Styela clava: one gene and its partner. The protein of the gene in region 2 purifies or fractionates together with the protein of the main gene of each other region. This does not show direct contact. Links are inferred from orthologs where the notes say so. Each region holds a gene or a part of one and is shown on either strand. Other genes may lie near its edges.

What was found. Proteins that work in one complex are often made in the same cells at the same time.
Region 1: the proteins of uncharacterized protein LOC120330719 (region 2) and actin-related protein 2 purify together in Homo sapiens (affinity purification with mass spectrometry; 3 studies listed by BioGRID and IntAct, with this or other methods). This does not show direct contact. The link is inferred for Styela clava from reciprocal best matches to the Homo sapiens genes CTTN and ACTR2.

What each region holds. Positions count from the first base shown.
Region 1 is NC_135251.1:20,269,869-20,277,157, forward strand, and holds the start of actin-related protein 2, read right to left. Parts: upstream 3,051-7,289; 5' UTR 2,939-3,050; coding exon 2,891-2,938; intron 1-2,890. UniProt on the Homo sapiens protein: ATP-binding component of the Arp2/3 complex, a multiprotein complex that mediates actin polymerization upon stimulation by nucleation-promoting factor (NPF).
Region 2 is NC_135255.1:2,031,397-2,038,929, reverse strand, and holds the start of uncharacterized protein LOC120330719, read right to left. Parts: upstream 3,048-7,533; 5' UTR 2,918-3,047; coding exon 2,822-2,917; intron 2,242-2,821; coding exon 2,168-2,241; intron 1,874-2,167; coding exon 1,787-1,873; intron 1,120-1,786; coding exon 966-1,119; intron 826-965; coding exon 715-825; intron 442-714; coding exon 387-441; intron 1-386. Other genes in the region: ribonuclease H2 subunit B-like, read right to left, coding at 3,690-4,568.

The sequences.
Region 1 (7,289 bases), on a different chromosome or scaffold from region 2:
CTGGCCGATATATATCAGCGTTAGTCGCTTTTCCACGTTCTAAAAAATGAGTATTTTTCCCCGGGAAATATCTGCGGCCGAGCGTTTTCCTTTTTTACGCTTCTCTCATTTTGCCTTTCAATGAACAGAGAGTTCTCTTCTATATTTCTCTCTTCGTGCGGCGCAAAATCCTCGCCTTCGAATATCTTGCGTCCCCACTAGGCTTGCACGTAATCGACAAAAATCAATTACGGAAAAATTGATTACGTAATGACCCCGTAATTGCGATATTTTTTTCACACGTTTAAACCTATCATAAAAACCATTCGAATCCACTTCTTTTCCGAATGGGACATCGAAGTTTGGTTTTCAAATTACCGACAGTACTACACGCCGGCGACAGATGTTAAAGACAAATACCAAGGAGTGAATTCAAATTAAATTTATTCTGATCTTTATCTTGTTTAATTGTGTTGGCTTTGATTTTCCTTTATCACGTTCGCAAATTAACCGTCCCAATTTTATGCGATCAATTTTATCATTACCGATAATGGTATACGGATATTTATGAAACGATAGTTGCCTTTTTTAAAATCGACTTTCGTATTGAATAAAAATTTCGGGTTTCTAAGTTATTAATCAACGACAAGCGTATTTTCTCATTTGATTATACCTGCGCTTGCCTCGCGACGAAGACTTGTTATTGCTCCGTTTTTATACATTATCCGACTTTGCTACCTAGTTAGCATTTTATAATAATTATTGATGCTGAATTATTGACGATATTCCGATTACCAAGCTTCATTTTATATCAAATCATTTCGCGGCCTAAATGTTATAACATCATTTGCGATAAATTTAAATCAAATAATAATTATTTAGCCGGCGATAAATTCTTACCCGTAACTTGTTGTTTATTAATGCTAATAAATTCTATTTTGTTTTTTAATGCGCTGTGATTTGTATTTATAAAAGTGATTGAGTCGGGAAAAGAAAGTAGCCTAGCCTCCTCTCCTTTTAAGCGCTTATAGCGGCGGTAAAATTCGTTTCATGTCTGTTTCACGGAGAGAAAGAAAAATACGCCTTCCGGAATTACAATCAACTATCACACATTCTTATTTATCATTATCAGTGCCGAATAAAAAAGATACCAAATCGTGAAGACAAAAAAGTCTGTCGGTGCTAATTGCGTTACGGTGACAACGCTTATAATAATATCGTTTTGACCGTGAAACCAAACGCTCAAACGGGGTGGCAACGCGTCATGCCGGCTCAAAACGGCTGCGAATACCGGAACTCTAACTTCTTCTACTTGTTAAACTTTGATTTTTTACAATCGACGGAATTGGCTGCTTGGAAGGAGCACGTTTCAAACGCGAAAGCGCTCGACCAATAATTACGACTTTACGTAATTGTAACTTCCCTTCCGTAACTCCAAACAATTCCGTAAATTACGTGCAAGCCTACTCCCACCTACTACTGTATGGATCAAAATGGACTTCTATAAGCTTTTTACTGACTGCCTTTTTTCTCTTGTGCATTAATGTGTGTTCTTATTATTTGCTGCGAAACTTTTATTAATGATGCAAGCACTGTGTAGGACTGCTTTATTTTTCAACATAAACTTTTGATTGACTGAAACTGAATGTTTCTTTCTATTTGTATTTACTGCGGGTTCGAGTTCTAGATATCGGTATGTCAATATCGGTTATCGGTCACTAGTTGGCCGATATATCGTTATCGGTATCGGTGCCAAAAAGTGATATCGGTCGAGCTCTAACAAACACACCATGTGTCTCATAAACTAGGGGCATCTTGCACGACGGCGGATGCGTCATATAGCGCAATGCTTGTCCTGATAATAATCTAAATTAATCGTGGCCATCATGTGACCAAAATTGTTGATTTTCGCTTAAAATTCTATAATGCCACGATAGAAAATTTTTGGGTCTCGTGTAGTTTCGTACTTCTACTTACATACTTCTAGTAGGCGTAGCATAACATTTTTTGACATGTCAACCCTAACCCCCACCTGACTATGCCCTCCAAAAATTATGTTATTACGACATCACAATCACATCATAGAGCTTGCCAAATACACGTACAATAGCACGAAATTGCATCGGCGCTGACGATAAATGAATGACTAACGTCAGCGATCTCTTTCTTATATAGGGATTGTTGCGACAAAAAAACAAGAGAAATAGCTGTTTGATTTCAGGTGCTTGTCTGCGCGTCTTGGATGACAGTTTGAATAGTTTCAAGCTCTATTATGTCACTGTGATGTCGTAATGACGTAATTTTTGGACGGCGTAGTCACGTGGAGGTTAGGATCGACACATGGAAAATTTGTTAGGCTACGCCCACTTGAAGTATGTTAGGTACGAAACTACATGAAAACCAAATATTTTCTTTTGGTGAATCGAATCATTTTTTCCCCCTGAGCAATTCAATTATGACGTCTTTAGATTGCGCTTCTTTGTAGTTTTTTGCGCAACTTCATTTTACTGTATTTTTGCCGATATTGAGGGACAACAATATCCAGACGTCTCCTAAAGGAGGGGTGTTTCTTCATCGACAAAATGGGATTCTCCAAAATGAGACAATGTTATCGATTTATAGAATGTGCCGTACTGTAATACTATAGAGGTAGGCTATAACATGTGTTTTATTACAGTAGCCTACAGAAGGGGAATGTTAAAAAATTGGTAATAAGTAATAGGCTATATACGGTAATGAATGGATGTTTGAATGAGTCAGGCAGTGGGTGATCCGAGGGTCATCACAGCATCAGACAGTCAAAACTGAGGCCTGCAGTAAAGTGATCAAGCAAACAAACATACTTGGCATAGGCTAGTCAGCTAGTATTGCTATAAGTCACGGAATGTTAACTATTAATAATGAAACTCACCCCAGTTCCGTTGTCGCAAACAACGACCTTTCGGCCTGCGGAATCCATGTTCCTTCAATAAATCCGATAATTTCCTCGCAAACTTCCTCACTCAGCAAAGAAACACAAACGTTAACACCCTACAGCTAGATGTAAATCCACTAGATGTCACAAGAACTTCCGCCGGTAAAATCAACTCAACCGTAACTACGCCGCATGATGACGTTGTAGCAATCAATTGTAGTCACTGAACTGGGAATGTAGTAGTATATATTTACGATTATACATATTTATATATCTTTGTGGTTGTGTTTATCATAAACTTAAAGCCGAGCCCGTATATACCGTTAATACTTAACCGTTATATACTTGAAACAAATAGAAGCCCATATGCGAGAAAAAGGCCGGACTCTAAACGCGTATTAAAGTTCAGTGATATATTTGTCCATAAAATATACATCTGAAATATGGACTATATATTAGAAGTTTTCCAATTGCGACAGGCATAGCAGCTATTGTTATTATGGCAGTTTATCACATATGGCGCAATTTGAGTTTGATAAATTCTTCCGTGATAGTAAATTAAAATTCATGTAAATAGAATGAAAATATATAATAGATGTTTCCCCGACCTAGACCCAGAAAAATGCTCCTTATACTTTACCGTACTTTACTATTGCTAAATTTTGCGAGTGTTTTGGAGATTAGCAACTGACAAACTGATTTACATGCTCAAAATCATTATTTTTATTGAAATATGAAACCACGTGCCGATTACTGGTACTGATTTTAGCTCATTTTAGCCTAGTTTATCGCAGCTTTTCCATAACTAATTTTTGATCATTGATTTTAAACTAAAGCTCATCGGAAGACATGAAGACAATTAAAATACTTCATTCACTAGTAATTTTTTGGAAACAAAACTGAAAACGTGTCCAATAACACGCAAAACCGCGAGAAGGCACGCCTGAAAATCTGTGTCTGTCTGAGCTAGGGCTGGGAATGGTTAACCGATTTTAGATAGTTAACGGTTACGATTTATTTTAATCGGTAACTGACATCTCAGGTACAAATCATCTTCATAAAGTACAATTTCTTTAAAAATGATTACGTTGTCGTAAATTTCTCTCCTGTGGCGTTTGATTCAAGAGAATATCACTAACTCTGTATTGGTAAAGACCCAATAAATGTGAAAAGTAATTGAAGTACCAAGATCGCTGATTATGAAAATTTGACAATGATAAATTCAGAATAAGTTTTCAGTCAAAATATATTGTTCACGATTTGATTGCAAAATCGTATATTCAATGTCATCCAACAAGTGCGTATTTGATGCTGTTTTTCTTTATGATATCTCAAAGTAGATTTTGTACGTCGAACACTGATGACAATGAATGAATCTTGACAATTTATCAACCAAAATACCTTTTCAGATTTGAAAAAATTCATGGCTTTTAAAAATGGCGCTCTTTGGCTTAACATATTCGTGCTAACATTCTTTTTTCTAAAATGGGTGTCATGAAATCCCCTCCCGATCGTTTCTAACAGACAAAATTTTGAAAAATGGACTTCGAATTGCTAGTACTTACATTATGCAGCGGTTCCAGCAAATCCCCTGCATGTAATAAAATTAATATCGCGCAATTTGTCACGTTGAATATCAACACAAACCAAGAAACTTTCCAATGTCTTTCCTTGCAAGGTCGATTTTGAGACTTGAATCCTAGCGATGTTACAATTTAATTATAGTCATGAAGTCAGAAATTCGATTTTTTACCATGATACTATCCCCTATTCCATTTTCCAATTCAGTTTTAAGATGGATGTCAGGATGTGCTTCGAAAAAGCTGGGACAAAGATTCCAAAAGAAATTGTAAAGGCAGTAAACGTCTAAATTATCCTCTAAGTATTCTCAAATGGGACGCGCACCAAGATGGCGCACAACCTAAACATAGTATGTGTGTACCGGTCAGAATTCAGGTTGTGCGACATACTTCTGAGCACCATTGAATGGGTTTAATTACACCCAGTTAGGAAACCACTGCAATAAAGTATATTTTCATCTTTATCATGTTGATTCAAGACACGGTTGCAATCATCGATTACTTTGGATTTGGGCGCTGTTCATCGTCATCATGAAAGGACCAACGATAAAAAAAAAAAGATAATTACTAGCCACGAATAAATTTGTATGGGTGGTGGCCCCAAATGTACTCAGCTTGATGTCTTGATTATTTTCTTCATGTTTTCAATATAAATTTGAAGTGGATTTTTACTAACGAAATATGGGGGTTCACAGCTGTTAAATTACCCTCACTACTAAGCTTTTTGTGTCGTTCCATTTTTTCGGGAGTGATATCGCAGATCATGTATCTGTGATAGAAACTCTCTAACCTAGTGTTCCAAGCTATTCCACGTATAATATATATATCTTGCCTTTAACTGTGTAAGCATCAAAGATAACACATTCCGGGCTGAAATCCCATGCCTCCACCTCATCCAGGGTGCAATTAATTGGATAGGCAATATCGATTCTAAATAAAAATAACTCCTTATATTTATCGGGTGACCGTACACTTGAACCCATACATTTACACCCGAATATCCGCGGTTTCAAATGAGGGTGCTAAAATCCATGAGTTAGGATGAGTTCAAATATCCGTAAAATAAAAAAAATTCATAGGTGCAATAGTATGCAGGTGCAATTGTCGTGGGTTCAAATTACGGGTTCAAATGTAATGGAACCATTTATCGTGATATATCAGAATCTGGTTCAATGCAAAAATCAGTACAAGCTGCTTATATTCACTCGAGGTATCCGTCCATGGGTGCAATCTCCTCGGTACATACGCCCATGGAGGGAATATAATGCCCTATAACAAGACAATGAATCAATTCGTTGACCCCCTAATAAAAATTTGGACTGGCTGCGCTCTAGATATAAATACAATCTATTCGATGAGTTTTGTTCTATAAGTCACAAATTTTATAAATAAATGTCGCCAACTACCGGCCATAATATACTGCGATGGCAAATTTATTGAACAAACCCCTGTTTGTAGGCGCAACCCAGCTCAATGATGACTTGTAACTCCAAAAACGAAACAGATTTCATGGAAATTATCCAGCTAAATTGGACTCGCTGTGTACCAAAACTGCACAAGATAGTTATAGTATAAGTATAAGTTTATTTCGGCTCCATAATCAGCAATAGACGATAAAAAAATAGATAAAAACAGAAGTAAAAGTAACTGATTATAGAATCGGGAAAGCGAGCAAAACCTAGAGTAAGGTTTGAAACGTACAGATTTTAAATGAAAAGGTATTGATAAAAGAAGTAGTACGTGTTCGCTCACAAGTTTTTAAGTTCGATAATCGGAAACCCGAGCGGCTTTTAAAAGTTGAATTTTCCGAAGACTTCTGAGAAAACATATTGCAGCCATGACTTGAAAATATGCAACAAAATCACGTTCGACAAAATGTAAAATGTACTTCTCTCTGAAAAAGCCTACTGTTAGAGTTACTTAATAATTTCAAAATAAACTCCATTCCACTCCACAATAAAATGTATATATATATACAACTGATACAATCAATATCGAAATGTTACGTTTTACTTTTACGCTAAAAAAAAGAGTGGATAATGATGGGGATGGGAGTTCCACAAAGCCCTTGTCAATTCATCTACCATCATGTTTTCACGTTCCAACAAATGATCGTTTGCGTAAATTCGAATTGTTTATTTTTTTTTATATAAATTTTCTTGTGTTTTTCACTGCTTGTCATATGTTATCCCAAGCTTTTTTAAACATATCACTAGGGCTGGGCATTTCGAATCGAATATTCGAATCGAATCGAATATTAAATTATTCAAATCGGTTCAAAGCTAAATTTCGAATCGCTACCATCTTGTTTTTTTCTTTCCGCCAATGGTCTAGGTCAGGGGGGTCCAAACCCAGGCCCGCGGTTCACATGTGGCCCGCCACTTCATTATCTGTGGCCCACATCGCATTAGGAGACGAATCAAAAAATTGCATTTTGTGTTGTTTCGTCATAAAATTAACTAAAAAAATCTTTTGACATATTGTTGCATCATTAATGTCACTAAATTGACTAGTGTTATGGCTTGCTGGGGCAACTAGCGAAGTTAAACGAGCAAAGTTTTTGGCACTATTGTGGCCCGCGAACAATGCAAAAGTAATTTTGTGGCCCGGGGAGCTGCCAATCCTGGACCACCCTGGTCTAGGTGAATTCCTCATTTTTTGTTCATTGAAGTCATAATTATTTTTTCAACGCAATTCTAACATATGACTATTCTCTGCAGTGAGTTATTGATAAAACGTGTTTGTTATTGGGTGTGAACGCTCAGTAATCTATCTGCGTGATGTATTCTATGTCTTCAGTGATTCATTTGTTGAGA
Region 2 (7,533 bases):
GAAATGAGCAAATTAATCAATAAATCAAACATCAACAATAACACAATAATATTTGAAAATTTCATATAATTGAGTCAATTTATTTGAAAGCGTCTTCGTTAAATCAAATTAAATAACTCTGATCATTATGAATATGAAATGATATTCTGTTGCAGTAAAACGTTATTTTTTATGAAGTTAGGTAAATCAGAATATAAATTATATGAGCAAAATTCTAAAATGAATTAATAAGCTGGGACTTCATTCAATTTATTTTCAAATATAAACAATTTTTTTAATAGAACTTTGAAATAAATGAATATAAATGACTTTGATAGAAAACCCAACGGATGTTGTGCATTAAATGAGCAATCAAGTAAACATGCAAAAAATTAGGTATTTTATACCTTTTTGAGACTCATGCTTGTTCATCTTCTCTTTGTATTCGAAAGTTTCAGCACTCTGGAATCGTATAAATAGAAAGAATATGATATTTCTCCCAATTTACATAAATGTTTGTTTGTATAAAAAAATTACAAATTAATTAGGATAATGAGAAATGTATACAACATAGTTGTTTTTTAATCCAGGGTTGGGTATGGGACTAATTACCCAGTAATTCATTCAAGATGTAAGAGGTTGGACCTGGTTGGCTGAAGTTAATGCGTCTTATGATCCAGCTGATAAAGAGGTTTCAAAAATTGCATGTGTTGCCTTTAATGCAAAATTCAGTACCTTATCCATCCTGTCTTTTTGTACACCAAATTTACCACCAAAACCTTTAGCTGCGTCTGTTTGAGATTCGTGAGCTGCGAGTTTGGCTTTATAACTGAAGTCAACAGCAGACTAAATATAATATATACATTTTAAGATTAAAAAAATATAATGGAAACAATCAAAAAATTGAGAGAAACGAAATGACAATTTCTGAATCCCATACATGTGCATGGCTTTTATAATATAATTAACATAATAGCAATACTAACTTTGTCAACTCTGTCTTTCTGTACACCAAATTTCCCGCCAAATCCTTTTGCTGCATCAACTTGGGATGTATGAGCTGCAAGCTTTGCCTGATATGTGTTATCAACAGCAGATTTATCCATTCGGTCTTTCTGAACACCAAACTTTCCTCCGTACCTGAATAACAGAATCATGAATAGATAGGGGTGACTATTCTATATCGAGAAAGGATACTTATTAGCAGAATATCTTTTGTTTTTGAACCAAATAAACTAACATAAAAAAAAAATTCTTTAAAATACAATTATGGTATGACTTTGAACTCAATATTATACTCATTTGTTTATTTCTGGGGGCATTCCATAAAAGTGGTTGTAACTATATAGCTATATCATGTGTTAATTGTACCAAACTTCCCACTCAGGAAGTTCGCTTTAGGTAAGACACATGGATCAGTGAAACATGGTGACTATTCTATTGATTTGTGAACTAGATTACACAAACTCTATAAACAGAAATTTTTATTGAAAATGTTAATCCTCCACACTTTAGACTTTAGAGCATTTACAATATCACACAAAAACCAAGGAAGGCTAAGGTTTAAGGCTAAAGATTTACATATTTATCTCGGGAAAGAGGAAAGCCATATGTCGAACCACAGCCTCTCGTCCGGTTACCAGTTTATGTCGAGTATGGGGTTAGTAAGCCAGTTATTTGTTCCAGATGCATTGACTTTATTGTGGAGTAAATTTAAAATGCACGATGCACGAGTCGGTGAATTAGAGAATGATGTAACTACCCCCACTTTTGTGCATAACAGAATAGAATGTCATAAATTACTCACCCATATGATGCTTTTGGTCCTGTTTTTGCTTCTTCTTGCTTCGCTTTTTCATCATCTTTTTGCACATCTTTACGAAGTCCACTTACACTAAAACGAAATAGAAAATGAACAATTATAACAAAAATGAGTAAGCAATGCTTGAAAAGCGTACTATGTCCAATTATAGTTTCAAAAGGCACTTTTGATATGCCTTCTGATAGATTTAAAGTGCAGCTGGAAAGACACACTCTCAATTAGAGAAATGATGAGAGTAGCTGTACAATAACTTTGATCAAGCGTTCAGTACAGAGAATAAATGATAGAATTCTAAAATAGTGCTTTCTGTAACTCTGATATTAACATTTCCATCCACTTCATATTACATTTAGCTGAAACCGATACCTTATGTGTCCAACTCTTCCTGAACCTTCGATAGTTTTTGATCCCCATCTTTGTTCTGTTTCAGAAACTTCATTCTATAGATAAATAAATGAACTTTATTTAAAACAAAACCATCTACTACCAGATTCTTTATACAATTTTTTCATGTCTTGGGGAGCTGATTTTGATATCGTTACCCAGCATATACCTAATAACCTTGAGAATGTAGTATATTTTTATTATTGTTGCGGCGCTCGTTTGCTGGTTGACCAAATAATAAATCTCTTTCCTCAGTCTGGGTAAGGCTCTGAATAAAACAGTTGTCAAATAAGCAGTATATGGTATGTATTAAGTAAATATTGACATTATGCTAGTCATAGTAATTTTCCAAATTCTGTTCATTTATTATGTTAATTATTAGGTACTCCCGAAGTATGGGAACCAAGATGGCAGATACCGGAGCATAGTATGTGTACCAGGTTAGGCCATAATTTTACTTCAATTTTCCTTATTATAGTTCTATTACGAGTTCGGGGACTTGCCAAGTGACTCCCGTAGTATTTGTGCCTGAAATTATGGCCTAAGCCTAACCTGGTACACATACTACGTTATGGTGTCCGCTATCTTGGTTCACATACTTCAGGAGTACCAATCATTATGTGATTAATACTTCACCACAAAATCAGGATCAGTTTCCCATTCATCATCATCATCATTTCCAACTGTTGGGTTTTTGATATCAACATTATTTCCTACTGTGGATCTCCACATGTTTTCGATTAATAGTGGCTTTTTCAATATTTAATCAATTCTCTTAGATTTTTAAAACTATTCATTAAAAATTGAATACAAAAGTAATTTAGAACATTTTTAATGAAAAAAATGAGGAACATTGAAACTTTGTATAAAGCAGCATGTCAACAATTTCCAGTCTACCATACAAAATACAGTGAAAATAATCAAAAAGCTTTCAACATGGAAATCCTAATGGCTAAAAAATAGTATTTCTTTACCGGTACTTCATTTTCACGATGCTTATTGAAATATTTTACTGTTGAGTAACTTAAGATAATGATTTGTCTTAGGTACAATGGATACCGAAGAATGTTCACCAAAATTCGATAACAATTTGTCATCATCAAATATAGCTGAGCAGCAGAAATTATAATATCCCTACTTCAATTCAAATTTATGGTAAATATGAAAAAAATTATAAAGAATGTAACATTGAAACCTTGATCGTTACCATTAGTTTATTATTAAATGAAAATAGAGAAAACATACAATCATTGCTAATCTGCTTTAACATTCATGTCAAATGCAGCTTTAGATTGATAGCAAACAAACGAGTATCTGAAAACTTTGCAAAATAATATCTTTGTGAAGATTAAGCAAAATCGTGAGCACTTATATTAAACATAGGAAAGTACATGTTGGCAGTTGATGGCATTGCGAGACAGCAACAAAGCGGTAGGAAATAGCAAAAATGCTCATTCTGTTAAAAATACACTTTACATTCAAATCATAATTTCTATAATATCTCCTATTTTTTACTCGATGGAGAAAAAAAACTTGAAATGCTTTTCATTCCCTTTTTGTTTACTTTATTCAAGTCTCTTTGTGCTTTTGACACTTTTGCCTTTTTATTTTTAGCTTCTCCATGACTTTCTTTCTCGTTTTTGATTTTTTTTGCAGTGAGCTGATTCCCGTGCTCCATAGAATGTCGCTTTTCTGCACGTTTTCTTATATTTAAATGTTTCTGTAGAAGACTCGCAATATCTTCATTAAGATAGCTTTCAACAAATCGAAAAGCATATTCTAGTTGAATTTCATCTTCATTTTCTTTATCATCACAATTATCCGCTATAAAAATACCAGAAGAAGTGACAGCATTTACTGTATTTTTGACTTTTTTACTCAGCCATTCCAATGTTTTTTCCTGGCTGTATTTGAATCCTACAAAATCACCAGTTCCAGAGACTTCTGCAACATTTTCCATTTGTGATTTTGATAATATCTTAACAAATTTGTTACAATCTGAATATTTTTCATCTTTTAAAATCTGATCTAAAATTACATATTTTTCTGCCTGACCACTGTTATTCAAATAAGGAAGAACAATATAAAGTGGGTCAATTATTGTTGCAACGAATAAAGAACCATCCTGCTGAACTTTGGCATCAACAAACCAGGATCCATACTTATCTCTGTGTGAATTTATTTCATACAACTGCTTCAGTTTGTCATTAAACAGGAATTTTGAAGGCTCTCCTGTACATGGATGTTTCAAGGTAAGCACAGACAGCGATGTTGAATCTACATTTAGATTCTCAGACTTGATCCCTCCTTCCAGCTTATTCATCACACAATCTTTCGGCAACATATATATCCATTCATTGCTACAGTCTTCATTTGTACCCATTTTTAAGATATAATCTACAAGTTTGCTAGAACTGTAGAACGTGACAATTCAAGATTGCAGAAATAAATTCAAGGTAAAAGTCAGTGGAATGATTGTGTTTACTGTACAAATCTAAAAATGCATACCAGTATGTCTGTATGTCAAATTATTGCTTTGGAACACATTCTTTATTTTTCTAAATCTAAAATTGGCCCAAATAAACCCTTGAGCAAGGGGACGACAAATGTCTCTTTGCAATTTTTATACACATTCTGACATTACACACAACCTTCATGTTTCCACTTTGGGATTGATTATATACAGATATAGACTATAATACTGTAATAATAATAACTTAAATCTCAAATTTCACATTCAAACATACAGCATTACCATTTTCCCGATAAGTTGGTTTGAAATAAGTTGTGTACAATACTGTACCCTATGTGGTTGCAATAACTGAATAACATAGACTAAATGCTGGAATGTTTTAGGTTTGTAGGCTATTACTTTTAAAATTAACGATTAACATTGTCTGATTGTTTTACTTTACGGTAGACTACTACAGTACCGGTAGCCTACTGGTTTTTTTCCATTCTGTTATATGTATTAAGGAAAGTAGACTAGGTATAGAAGTAGACACACAATTCCCTGGTGCTTGGTGTTTCAAATTCCTCTTCCAGTTTAGAGTTAAGACTTTCCAGCTTTTACTGATTTGTCAGTCGATTCTCGTTTCTGTCTACAGTACGGTATCTAAGTTCTACCATACAGTACTACAGCTTCTAGAAAACTGTTTATACTATCGATAAATCAGAAGTTGGCTTCGCATAGAATGAGACCAGTTTTCTTCGAAATTCGTAAAAAGAATATCATGTACGACAACGGTACAGCGCCCAAACTTGGAGGAAATTGCAAAACACCGTCAGGCACAACAAGAGGCTCGCCCATGAGCGACAGTTTGATTGACATATGCATTCAACCGTGAATCTTTCCGGCTCGAGTTATACCATGGTTATCAGTCGTTGGTGGTTATGACTGCTTCTCATGTTCTTATTTTTTGACATCTCTTCCGACAGTTGACAAAATGGTTTTACAAAATGGTTTACTCGTTTCATAACCATCAATATAATTCCAAAGATTTAACGACACGTACTAACCGCTAATTTCAGTCTAGTCTGTTGCAGCCCCAGATATATACAGGGGGTCCGCTTCTCTCTCATTTCTGTGGTATCAATTGAAGGCTCTTTCGTTTTGACGATGGACTTCCAACTTTTTCATGGCGCGTAATGCAATTATTATGGTATTTGACAGAAATCGAATATTTGCGTCAATTTTTCTTGCATAGCCTATTCGCCTGATCTTGATTCGTTTCTTGCTGTTGGCTCGTATTAGTGGCGAGGCGGCGTGGCTCATCGTGCTAAGCGTTAGGAATTGGTTTCATGTAACCGGTGGTCGGTTACGGCCTCCCCAACCATACCGTGCTAATTCTAACTGTTTTTTTTTTTTTCAATTTGCGTTAGTCGTGGATGATAATATGTCCAACGTACCAGTCAAAAGCGAACATTAACGACCACAGAACATTACCCAATGTGGTTTATTGTAATCGCTTCCCCATTTACATGTATTTGGCTATATTTTATCGATAATTCCGTATTTTGCGAGGCGATCTCAATGTCATTGCGTGGCCTGGTTTTGTAGTAAGCTACCGAAGCCATACCTATAAATAGAACTAGAGCGCGCTTCTATTCTTTTTTTGCGGGATCAACTGAAGACTTTGGTGTAATCTCTCCAATGGAAGTCATTGCGTTTTTATGAGCGCAGTCAAAAACAATTGTTTCCACTTATATCTTTTGTGTAATCGCCCAAACAGCAAATTTTTTTCAACATCGAGATCCATTTCAGGCTCTAAATTCCTAACTGAAATATAATTGTATTTGCATATCCAGTAAGTATCACATGTAGGCTACAAGTGCAGATGGTCAGTCAAATACATTACCGTACTTTTTATGGGTTACAAATTGTTTCATGGCTAAGAACAAAATAATTACCACCCTTTAAATATGGAAACATTCCCCAAAACTGCAAATCTGCTTTTGTATGGTTTAAGCAGTTGATGAAAATGAAACCCCAAAATCAGGATGTTCAAAACGAATTGAATATTCAAACCTATTACAAGTTTATTATATTGGAAGTAGTAGATTCTCGATTTTAGGAAAACTTTAAAATATCTAAATTTGCAAATTGTCGATTTTTAGACCTAAATTTGGCATCAACCAGTAAGGGAAAAGCATGTATTTCAAATATGATGGAAGCAAAGATATACAGAATATTGTAATATTCCAAATAAAGTTGTTCACAGTTTAGAACTTTAGAATATATATATTGCATATCAGTGGTGGCGCGTGGTCATTTTGACAACCGGGGCAAGCTACTGCGGGACCAAGTCACCCCCATCTACGGGGACAGGATGAGCGCTGTAAGTTCTCCCATCATTTTATGAGTATAAAAACCATTCCATCGGTAACAACCAATCAGCAAAAGCGACAATTTTTAACGATAAGAAAGTGTCTTTAAAACCGGTCCAAGTCAAGGGATTAATAAATATAGACATAGTTTATTTTGAAACCTCTTTCAAAAGGAAAGGCAATATGGGTACAATGACATATTAACAGAAACTTCGGGAAAGCAGACAAAACCTAAAATAAGGTTTAAAACGTTACTATGAAGAAAGGAAAGTTAATGCAAAGATAAGGACATGCGTCGCTCACTCATAGATATATATGCTGCTAGACTTCTACTGCTTGAACATATATGCAACACGCCGCGGTTTCTTGGAAGCAAAATGCTCAATAACGCGCTGATTAAAGTCATGCATCCCAGAAATAACGTCTCTGTGAATGGATAAAACAGCCAAGGAATTTAATCTATCTTGCTTCATTGTGTTTCTGAGATACGTTTTAATACGTTTCAGCGTGCTGAATGTTCA